2 linked regions of the Daphnia pulex genome follow. The protein of the gene in region 1 purifies or fractionates together with the protein of each later gene. This does not show direct contact. Links are inferred from orthologs where the notes say so. Each region holds a gene or a part of one and is shown on either strand. Other genes may lie near its edges.

Region 1 (4,221 bases):
TAAGCTTATTAGTTTTTAACTATTATGAAATTAAAAGATTAAAATGGATATTGGATTTTTTAAAAATAGATGTTATATTGGATCATCCTCTTGTTCCAACATCTTTAGCTAAGAGGTAGCCTATTGCAATTCTTTTCCTTTGCAATTTCAGTTGTAACAGCAAAATTATTATTATTTTAGGGAAAAAGTTCTGCCACCCAGCCAATTCCTTGGAATTCCCAAGATACAATTTTCCCCATCGGCACAATGTACTACTCGTAGTGGGCGACCAATTCGTTCCCCCGATAGATATGGTCAAACTGAGGAACTAAGAATTCACCCGCACATCAACATATCTGAAAGCCCATCTACGAGAGTGCATGTCACTCGTAGCGGACGAATCAGTCACTCACCCAACAGATTTCCACAAACAGAAGAGGCAATGGTTTCCTCGTATACACCTAAATCACGGATTACTCAATATACCAAACCCCAGCAGCAAAGTAAGTCGGTATTCATGTTTACATACTTGCTATTTCCTCTACTAATTTTTTCTTTCATCTAGACGCAGAGATAAATTCTTTGACTCCTGAACGTGTCGGTGACATTCCCATAAATAAAGAAGAAAATAACAATGATGTAAATGAAGGCTTTTCGGCCACACATTTTGGTTGAAGATTTTGATTTCCTATTTGTTCTTGTAATCTAAAAAGAATTATATTTTGAGAGGTATGCAATATCTTACACGAAAGAATACAAATGTTGGTTATACAAGCAAATTTATATTTGACGGGTTTCTTTTTGGAATTACATTCAATGTTTAATCCATAACATTAGCCCATGTTGTGCCGATTCCCGTAGCCTCTCCTGTGGTCATCCTTCCAATCATCATATTGGCGAGCTCGGATAAGTTGTTCTTCTTGGTCTAGTTCAGCCTTTCTCTCTAAATCTGTTGCTTCTTGTTCCGCTTTCAAAGCGGCCATTTCTGTATTTTTTGCTTCATCAAGCAGAGAACGAGAATTGCCAGAGGTTTCACCTAATTTTCCATACCTAAATCCCATTTATTAAATTGATTTTAGAACTGATAAATTAATTTAGTTGCTTTAAATACACGTACCATCCATCCTTCATTCTTTGATCAACAAGCTCTTCTACCGTCATAGCGGGAATACTAGGATATCCTAATCCGTAAACTGCCTTTTGGACGGCATCCCTTGTAATAATGATAGGTTTCAATGGTTTGCCCACATATGGTGGTAATTTTTTGGCATCACAACCGCCTCTTTTAATTTTGATGAGGTGTTCAACTATAGGTTTTTCTTGAGTTATGGATTTAAGTTCTTCAATAGTTGAGAAAACAAATTTCTTCATCAATAATATGTAGTATTCACGTGCAATTGATTCATCTGAACTAGGGTTTTCAAGAGCATTCTTGAGTTCAATGAGTTTCGATTCCAAGTCCTTGGCTTCTCTGAATTTCCTGATTTTCTCCTCTCTTTGTCTTGCCATTTCTTCAAACCCCATAGGACCAGGATGTCTTGGTGGTTCCTCACATTTCACAAGTTGATCTCTGTCAGGGATATCCAATCCTCCAACTGAATAATCCTTGCATCGCTGAAGAAAATCTTGAAAATAAACTTCTGCAACATTAAGAATATTTAATCGGTCATCTGAATTGAGTTTCAGACTCAAATCCCCAAGAAGCACTGGCAAGAGGAAAAATTTCAAATCATTGGTTGCAACTTCATCAACACTTTCATTTGTACTAAAGAGTCCAAGGGAGCTGACAAGTCTGGTTGCATCCTCCAGTATTTGAATGCAACTTCTAACTTTAGCCTATAAATCATTCAAAAAAATAGTTTGAAAAACACAATAAACCAAGAAATTCTTTGAATAGAATACTGACTACATACCTGATATTCAGGACTGTTGGAAGGATCCATGGTATCACACAATCCATGATATATCTTCAATCCTTTGTCAAACAACCCTGACACCGTTTCAGATCCATCTTCTAAATCGGCCGACATTTCCGTTTTCTTAATGCTATGTTTTTATACTGAAGCATAGAGCCATAGACTACTAAGTTGAGACAGTGCTTACACGGGTTGCCATCTAGTAGTCGTAACTCGTAAAATGATTACACCAACTATCCATGAATACCACGTAGTGGAGTCATTAAGAACCGGTTTTAACCAGAAACAAATTGCATCATGAGATTTTCTTCATGAACTTTATTATAACTTTGATACTAAACCATTAAAAAAAATTCAATATTTCCAGTCTCCCTGTTAAATTTCCCATAAGAGGGGGCTCCGCTCATTTTACTAAAGGGGGGTCTCAATGTATTTCCGTATGCCGCAACAGCCTAGATGGCGTGGCATTCGTTGAGACCTCCCTATGCCTCCATACAAAAGTCGCTAGTAAAAAGTAGCTTCCCGTCAAATCCCCATATGGGAAATATGGGGACCCCCAAATATGAAAACCCCTATTTTTACTCCTAATTAAACCCCTATTTTAGATAGATGTTGCAAATGGTCGTCGAGGGCTATTGGAATTTAACGTTGACTGCAGCGACCATAGGCTAGATGACTCTGGTTCTGCTCAGTTTATCACCCAATATAACCCTATTTGACAACCATGTATCGAGTATAAATTTGCACTTCTAGGTTTTGGGTAGTCTTGTCACTCGGACTTTTTTCGATGGTTCTGCAGACTGGAACATCGCCAATTTTAACCAGTTGCAAAGCAAGCACACGCAATTTATTTGTAAGACTTAAATTTCATATTTAAGAACGATAAGGAGAATAAAAATTAAAAAAATCAAATGCTTAAACAGGAAATGCTAGACAATTAACAATCTAGTATACTCAACGCGTATTTTGCTGCTGCACTTTTGGCAACTGACGTTTTTTGCCAAACCTCTACTGATAGGGATTGCATCAATTTTAAGCGTAACACGGGTCAAACCCATGATCTTTGTTTCTCTATTATAAAAAAAAAACATTATAAATTTTTTTTAGTAATATGTCAAATTATATTACGCAAATTGCAAAGCTTTTCCATATTTACGATGAATCGTCTGGACAGGGTTCTTAGGCCAGTAACTGATCTTTCCATCTGAAATTTAAAATTTTGAGTTAATTGAACATTTATAAATTAATTCAAATCTACCGGGGGCAAGAAGTGGGGCGATAACCGCCCACGTAATGTCGTTAGAATAACCCGAGTCTTCGAATATAGCTCCGGCAAGGGCTATATCCGGCTATAACCGCCGAGTTTTTAGAATTTTCCCAAATTAGAGACGTGCTCCCACTACCCCAGCGCAATTTTAGCCCACCCTTTCTCGCATGTGATTGGTTCGGCCCGATTTGAAAAGGCCTTGAAAAGCAAGCACACGCAATTCGTTTGTAAGCAGTAAATTTCATTTTTAAGACAGTAAGGAGCAAACAAAATCAAATGTTTGGAAAAGAAATGTGGACAATTGGCAATCTAGTATACGCAATGCGTATTAGACTGCAGCACTCTTTGCGACTTTCACGTTTCAGGTTAGAAGTAAATTTTATTTTTAAGACAGTAAGGAGCAAAAAAAAATCAAATGTTTGGAAAAGAAATGTGGACAATTGGCAATCTAGTATACGCAATGCGTATTAGACTGCAGCACTCTTTGCGACTTTCACGTTTCAGGTTAGAAGTAAATTTCATTTTTAAGACAGTAAGGAGCAAAACAAATTAAATGGTTGGAAAAGAAATGTGGACACTTAGCAATCTAGTATACGCAACGCGTACTTGGCTGCGGCACTTTTTGCGACTTTCACGTTTTTCCCCAAACCTCGACTGATGAGAATGGAATCAACATTGAGCGTGACACAGGTCAAACCCATGATCTTTGTCTCTCTATTATTTAAAAAAAAAAAACATTAGCATAAAAAAAAATTAGTAATATGTCTACTTCTTACACGAACTCCATAGCTTTTCCAAATTTTCGATGAATGGTCTGGACAGGGTTCTTAGGCCAGTAACTGATTGTTCCTCCGGGGGCAAGAAGTGGGGCGATAACCGCCCACGTTATGTCATTAGAAAACCCCGAGTCTTGGAATATAGCCCCGGCAAGGGCTTCCTAGACGTCAGCCAATTCCTTAGGGGGCTCAGTGAAGGTGGCGAAAGGCAATTCTGGGTCGTCCACCGACTCCACTATCTCAAAAAACTATCAAAACAACAAAAAGTTGTTTTGATACAAAG
Region 2 (5,295 bases), on another chromosome or scaffold:
CCTTGGCGGTTTGCCAGACTGTTAGAAACTGGTAACCTCGAGAATAATAATCAGAAATGGATGTCACCTTCCCGCTGAATTTCGAAAGGCGTAATGTCCTTGAGCTGTTGAGCCCCTTCTCTGCATAAGCATAAACGCTGTCAATGGAAGAGTTGGACGTGACGCAGTGCTGGCTCACTTTGATCTTGTCTCCGCTTACCATGGGCCCCAAAAGGGTGGCAGCCGTGAGCAAAATGCCCCAAACCGCCATTTTCACCCGATCTAAAAAATTTAAAAAAGACATTACATCACATGCAATTCCAATAACAATTCATAACGTACGGATAAAGATCTAAATTCAAAATTTGTTTAAAAAATGTAAGCTTTGTTTTACCGTTACTTGCTGGATAAAAAAGAAATCAGCAAGTTCAATCTTCTCACCCGGATGGGTGCTCGATCAAGACTAACGTTTAAACTAAACTCGAAGTTGGTTGATGAACACATCGAAAAGTTGCGACATTGCAGCAAACGACATTAGCTACGCAGTTTTTTCTATTCCAGAAGCTCCAACCGGTGTCAGGTTTCTTGCTTAACCTACGTGATTTAGAGTACATTTTGCTTAAACATTAAAGAGACTTTGCCCTGTGGCGACTTTGTACATCAATCGCTGCAAAAGACTTAAGAAAACTCGTAGTCATCGCAAGCAAAGTCAGCCATCCGTTCGGAATGAGAGTGCACGACATCCAACTGAAAGAATTGGTGAATGATTACGATTTGTATTGATCGAGGTGAACTTCCAGCATTTTTTTTTTGTTGGCTACAAATGACAGTGACGGGACACGACATTTAAAAACCACTCTTCTTCGGCTCGCTCGTTCGTTTTTTTGTTTTCTCTTGTTGTTGGATTTACTTCATTGTTGGTTGGTTATTTTTTTCCCTTAAGTGTGAACTGGATCGCGTGGTCTTATTTTCGAGGAGGGAGGAGGAAGGGAAGGTTCAAAGGTCACCATCTAGATAGTTATTAGTACAGGACACAAGGGGGGAAAGAGGGGAACAGCGACATCAGCATGTCCCCATCTGATGTTTTCGAGACAAGTCATCAAAAAAAAAAAGCGTTAGTACAATGGAAATCTGATGCTCGTGGTCTAATCTTTTTGTTGGTTGTTTGGGCGGCTCGTCTGTCGGTATACAGTTGCTCTTGGCTCTGACACGCGCTCTCTCTCTCCTTTTCTTCCACCTACTTCTCCCTCACTCTTTCAACTCTTTTTTCTTAAATAAATCGTAAAAGATGGTTCGAGGGTATCAACGGGCAGGTAGGAAAGGGGACAAAAGAAAAAGGGAAGTGATACTAGAATATACCAATTGCACGTTACTCTCTCACGCATTTACGACACGGGCGAGAAAATAGGGAGGGCGGGGTGTGAGGGAGGGGACATAAGGAGGTTTTTTTCCGACACAAAAAGAGAAGATTCCATGTTTCATTAATATTTGTAAAGAACAAATCACGAACTCCAATTTTAAAAAAAAAAAAAGAAGAGACTGTAAGGGAATAGTGTGTGTGTGTGTTTTTAAGGGGTAGAGGGGGAGGGTATGGATGTTGATCTTTTTGCTTTCCATTCAAGAAGAGGCGCATAAAGAGGACGTTTTAGTGGGGATGTGCAGGGTACTCTTAAACCTCGACTTAGTAAAATCTATACTCCGAGCGAGGAACAAGAGAAATGAACCGAGCATGAAAGAAAAAGAGAAGAAAAAATAATAATAATGATAGTAAATTGAAGGAAGAAAGGAGAAAAATTCATCGGTGTTCCGCGATATTTTTTTTTTTTTGCTCTTAAAGGAAGTAATCCGGCGTGCGCCTGGTTACGTGAGGTTCTCCTCTTCTTGGAGCTGGATCGAACTGCAAGCTGTAATTTCACAAACGAGAAAGAAAATCAATAAATGTCTTCTAGATGTAAATTTAAAATGGCTGTTTAAAAACTTACAAGGAGTATTTCAATGAATCATCCAGTTCCATAATGGCCGCTTGGTTGCCGCACCGGTAACAATAGTTGGGCGCAGAGAATATCGTTACCACATTGCGATCGTGACACCTAATGAAGCAATCAAACGTTCAGCCCCAGTACCAACAGATATGTCTTCTGTAAGACAAAACATTACCAGTTATATCCTTCCATGACAAGTTGATGAGCCCTAGAGACCAGAGTCAGGTTGTTGGAGTGATTGAAAGTTTCGGAAATGTCTTGGCCGAAGGTGTAGCCAGCTCCACGGGGGGAAATCCCCCAGCCACCTCGGTCATCTGGATCGGACCATAACAGGTCGCACATGGGGCCCTATTTTAGCAAACGAGACGTATAGGTTGACTAAACTGTGATGTCAAAGTGTTTTCAGACAGCGAACTAACCTCGTGAGGAACTTCTTGGAGACGATCGAGAGATCGAATGTGATCTAAAGTGTCGATAGAAGGGGAAAGTCCTCCGTGAAGACAGAAAATCTGACTGTCGACAAGTGCTGTCAGAGGAAGATAGTCAAAAAGATCGGTGAAGTACTTCCAAACGTTAGCATTGCCGTATTTCCTTAGGCACTCGTCGTAAAATCCGTAGACTTGTGTGATCTGACGAGACTCGTGATTTCCTCTCAAAATGGTAATTCGTTCACGGTAGCGAACCTAAATTGAATGTAATGGAAAAGCAACCTTAGTAACAGTCATACAAATGTACAGTGGAAAAAGTTAATCTAATTCTCAATTGAAAAATCAATAAATATTTCAAAAGCTATCAGCTGCGTAATTAGATAAAAGCCTCCACAAAGCTTTGGGCAAGCCCACCATAAGGAGCAACTTTCAATTGCATCATCCAAATAGTCAACAAACCTAGTCATATCATATTTGAATCTTATTGATTACATGACTTGCAAAAAAAAAAATTCCAAGTATTACCTTGAAATTCTTAATATCCTACTTCTAGATAATTAGTTGAGTCATGTCTGTGGAATAATAAGCAACTCACCTTGAGGGCAACAAGTAATGTGACTGTCTCAACGGAATAGTAACCTCTGTCAACATAGTCTCCCATGAATAAGTAGTTGGTATCTGGAGATTTTCCTCCAATTCGGAAGAGCTCCATCAGGTCATGAAACTGTCCGTGGACATCACCACACACGGTGACAGGGCATCTGACTGGCTGAACATTTGATTCTTTGGCCAAAATTTCTTTTGCCTGTCAAATATAGAACAAACCATAAATATTTAAAGCATTCCATTGATGCAAAAAAAAACGTTGAATGTACGAACCTTTTCACATAGGGTTTTGACTTGGTTCTCGGCCAACTGCTTGCATTCGTTAAGCTGCTCAATCCACTGGTCAAGTTCTTTAACCACTGCTTTCTCTTCCATGGTGAATACTTTACAAATTCGTGCAATACAAAAGTATCAACAGACAAATTGATGTGTCGGTGGGGCCACGAAAACTCAAACGTAACTTCTTGGGCTTGCTTACACTTAACAGAGCGGGTTTAACATGTATCAGTGGCCACCCCCTTTCTGCCACTTTTTCCTAGATAGGAAAATGGCCGCTTCTTTTCATAACGAAGACTTTCGCCACCAGGGGCAGGCTTAGAGCGTTGTGACGTCACATCGTCTCGGCAACGGCTGCGATTCAACATTGATTATATTCCCTTTAATCTCTTTCTTTCTCATAAAACACAAATCAACAGTTTCAAAGCATTATTTTTTTCTTGATACTACTTTTTACTAATTCGAAATAGATTGTCATTCGTTTTCATTGATTGTCATTCAATGTTAATCGATATCTTAATAATCGATTCAGATTGACGATACCAAAACAAAAAATTTTCGAATTTCTATTTTGACGTTTACCATTATTTTGACCAAATCCCCAAGAAATTGGTGTGGTTGAATGCTTCCAATATTTAATATTGCATTTTAATTATTATTTATGCTTAATTTTTAAAATTGTAAAAAATGTTGTTGTCTTAGTTTTATCAGTACAATTGACTTTTAACCTTTTTTCAAAATTATTGTTATTTGCCACAACATGAATCAGGACATCAATTATTTATTTATTGCTGAATTGAATTCAATACATTACAAAGTATGAAAAATACATTTCCTTTTTTAACTTGAGTGTTTTTTTGTTTTATTGAAAACTATCAATTTCGAACTGGATTTAATATAAGGGAAGAAACCGAAATAAGAACGCATCTAAATAACACGTGATAGATAAATGAAGGGAATAACATCACTTCACTTAAACTTCAGGTTGATTTAACATGGGTTTAGGGGCATATGCAGGCGGGCCAGGATTAAAGAGCATTTTCAAATCATCAATAGTTAAACCCTTAGTAGCCAACTTCGCAGCTCCAGTAAGTATGCCATTAGCCATTGCCAACTTTTCCTGCTGCAACTGAAGGATTCTTTCTTCTACAGTTCCCTGAGTTATCATTCGGTGTACGTGGACATCTTTAGTTTGGCCAACGCGATACACCCTGTCGCAGGCTTGAGCCTCAAGCTGAGGATTCCAATGCATATCTGCGATGAAAATATGGTTTCCTCCAATTAAATTGAGGCCAACTCCACCAGCACCCAAGGATAGAAGAATAACCTGAAAGCAAAGGAAATTGTTAATAAAACTAGATTTCGTTAATCAAATAAAAATAACGAAGAAATAAAAATATAAATCTTACCGGTGCACCGTCTGGATTGCTATTGAAATCTTCTACGATTTGTGTTCGGTGTTTGATAGCAACGCTACCTGCGATCAAATGGCAGCGAATGCGCATACGCTGAAAATGCTGGGCAAACAGATCCAGCATGGATGTCCATTGCGAGACCACCACAGCTTTTTGTTTTTGAGAGACAACTTTCCTGACCTCCTCGGTAATGTACCGCATTTTACTGCTCATATTATCGCGATCGAAAACTGGGTTAGTATGGGTAAAGAAGTTGGTTTCTTCTTTCTTCGGCTCGCCCGGTTTATTGTCCAACGTCATGGTGGACATTTGAGAAATCAAATCCAGATCGTTTTCCTCGATTTTGGCGTCTTCGCTCCCCATAGATTCCGAGTCAGTGGCATCCAACATTGTTTGAATCAAAGCGGGGTGAGAGCAAGCCTGTCTGAGGCGTAGGAGGAGCACCAACATCATCTGTTTCGTCACGTTCTTTTGGGGAAGTTCCGGAAGATTCTAGAATTTAAAAAAAGGATTGCGTAAGCTTCACGAAACTAACCACTTGTTATGACTCATTTAAATTACCCGGCGATCATAGGTGAAACCGTAACCTTCTTTAATTTTGTTTTCTTG

The links.
Region 2: the proteins of immunoglobulin-binding protein 1b-like (region 1) and serine/threonine-protein phosphatase 2A catalytic subunit alpha isoform purify together in Drosophila melanogaster (affinity purification with western blotting; 3 studies listed by BioGRID, with this or other methods). This does not show direct contact. The link is inferred for Daphnia pulex from reciprocal best matches to the Drosophila melanogaster genes Tap42 and mts.

The regions. Positions count from the first base shown.
Region 1 is NC_060028.1:6,376,451-6,380,671, reverse strand, and holds immunoglobulin-binding protein 1b-like, read right to left. Parts: upstream 2,076-4,221; 5' UTR 2,010-2,075; coding exon 1,893-2,009; intron 1,816-1,892; coding exon 1,097-1,815; intron 1,030-1,096; coding exon 813-1,029; 3' UTR 742-812; downstream 1-741. Other genes in the region: uncharacterized protein LOC124209844, read left to right, coding at 70-115, 181-482, 545-654; endoribonuclease Dicer homolog 1-like, read right to left, coding at 2,825-2,966, 3,024-3,099, 3,154-3,244, 3,798-3,863.
Region 2 is NC_060026.1:13,488,658-13,493,952, forward strand, and holds serine/threonine-protein phosphatase 2A catalytic subunit alpha isoform, read right to left. Parts: upstream 3,600-5,295; 5' UTR 3,371-3,599; coding exon 3,269-3,370; intron 3,195-3,268; coding exon 2,985-3,194; intron 2,645-2,984; coding exon 2,381-2,644; intron 2,310-2,380; coding exon 2,137-2,309; intron 2,070-2,136; coding exon 1,962-2,069; intron 1,884-1,961; coding exon 1,811-1,883; 3' UTR 740-1,810; downstream 1-739. Other genes in the region: transcription termination factor 2-like, read right to left, coding at 4,245-4,598, 4,681-5,178, 5,248-5,295.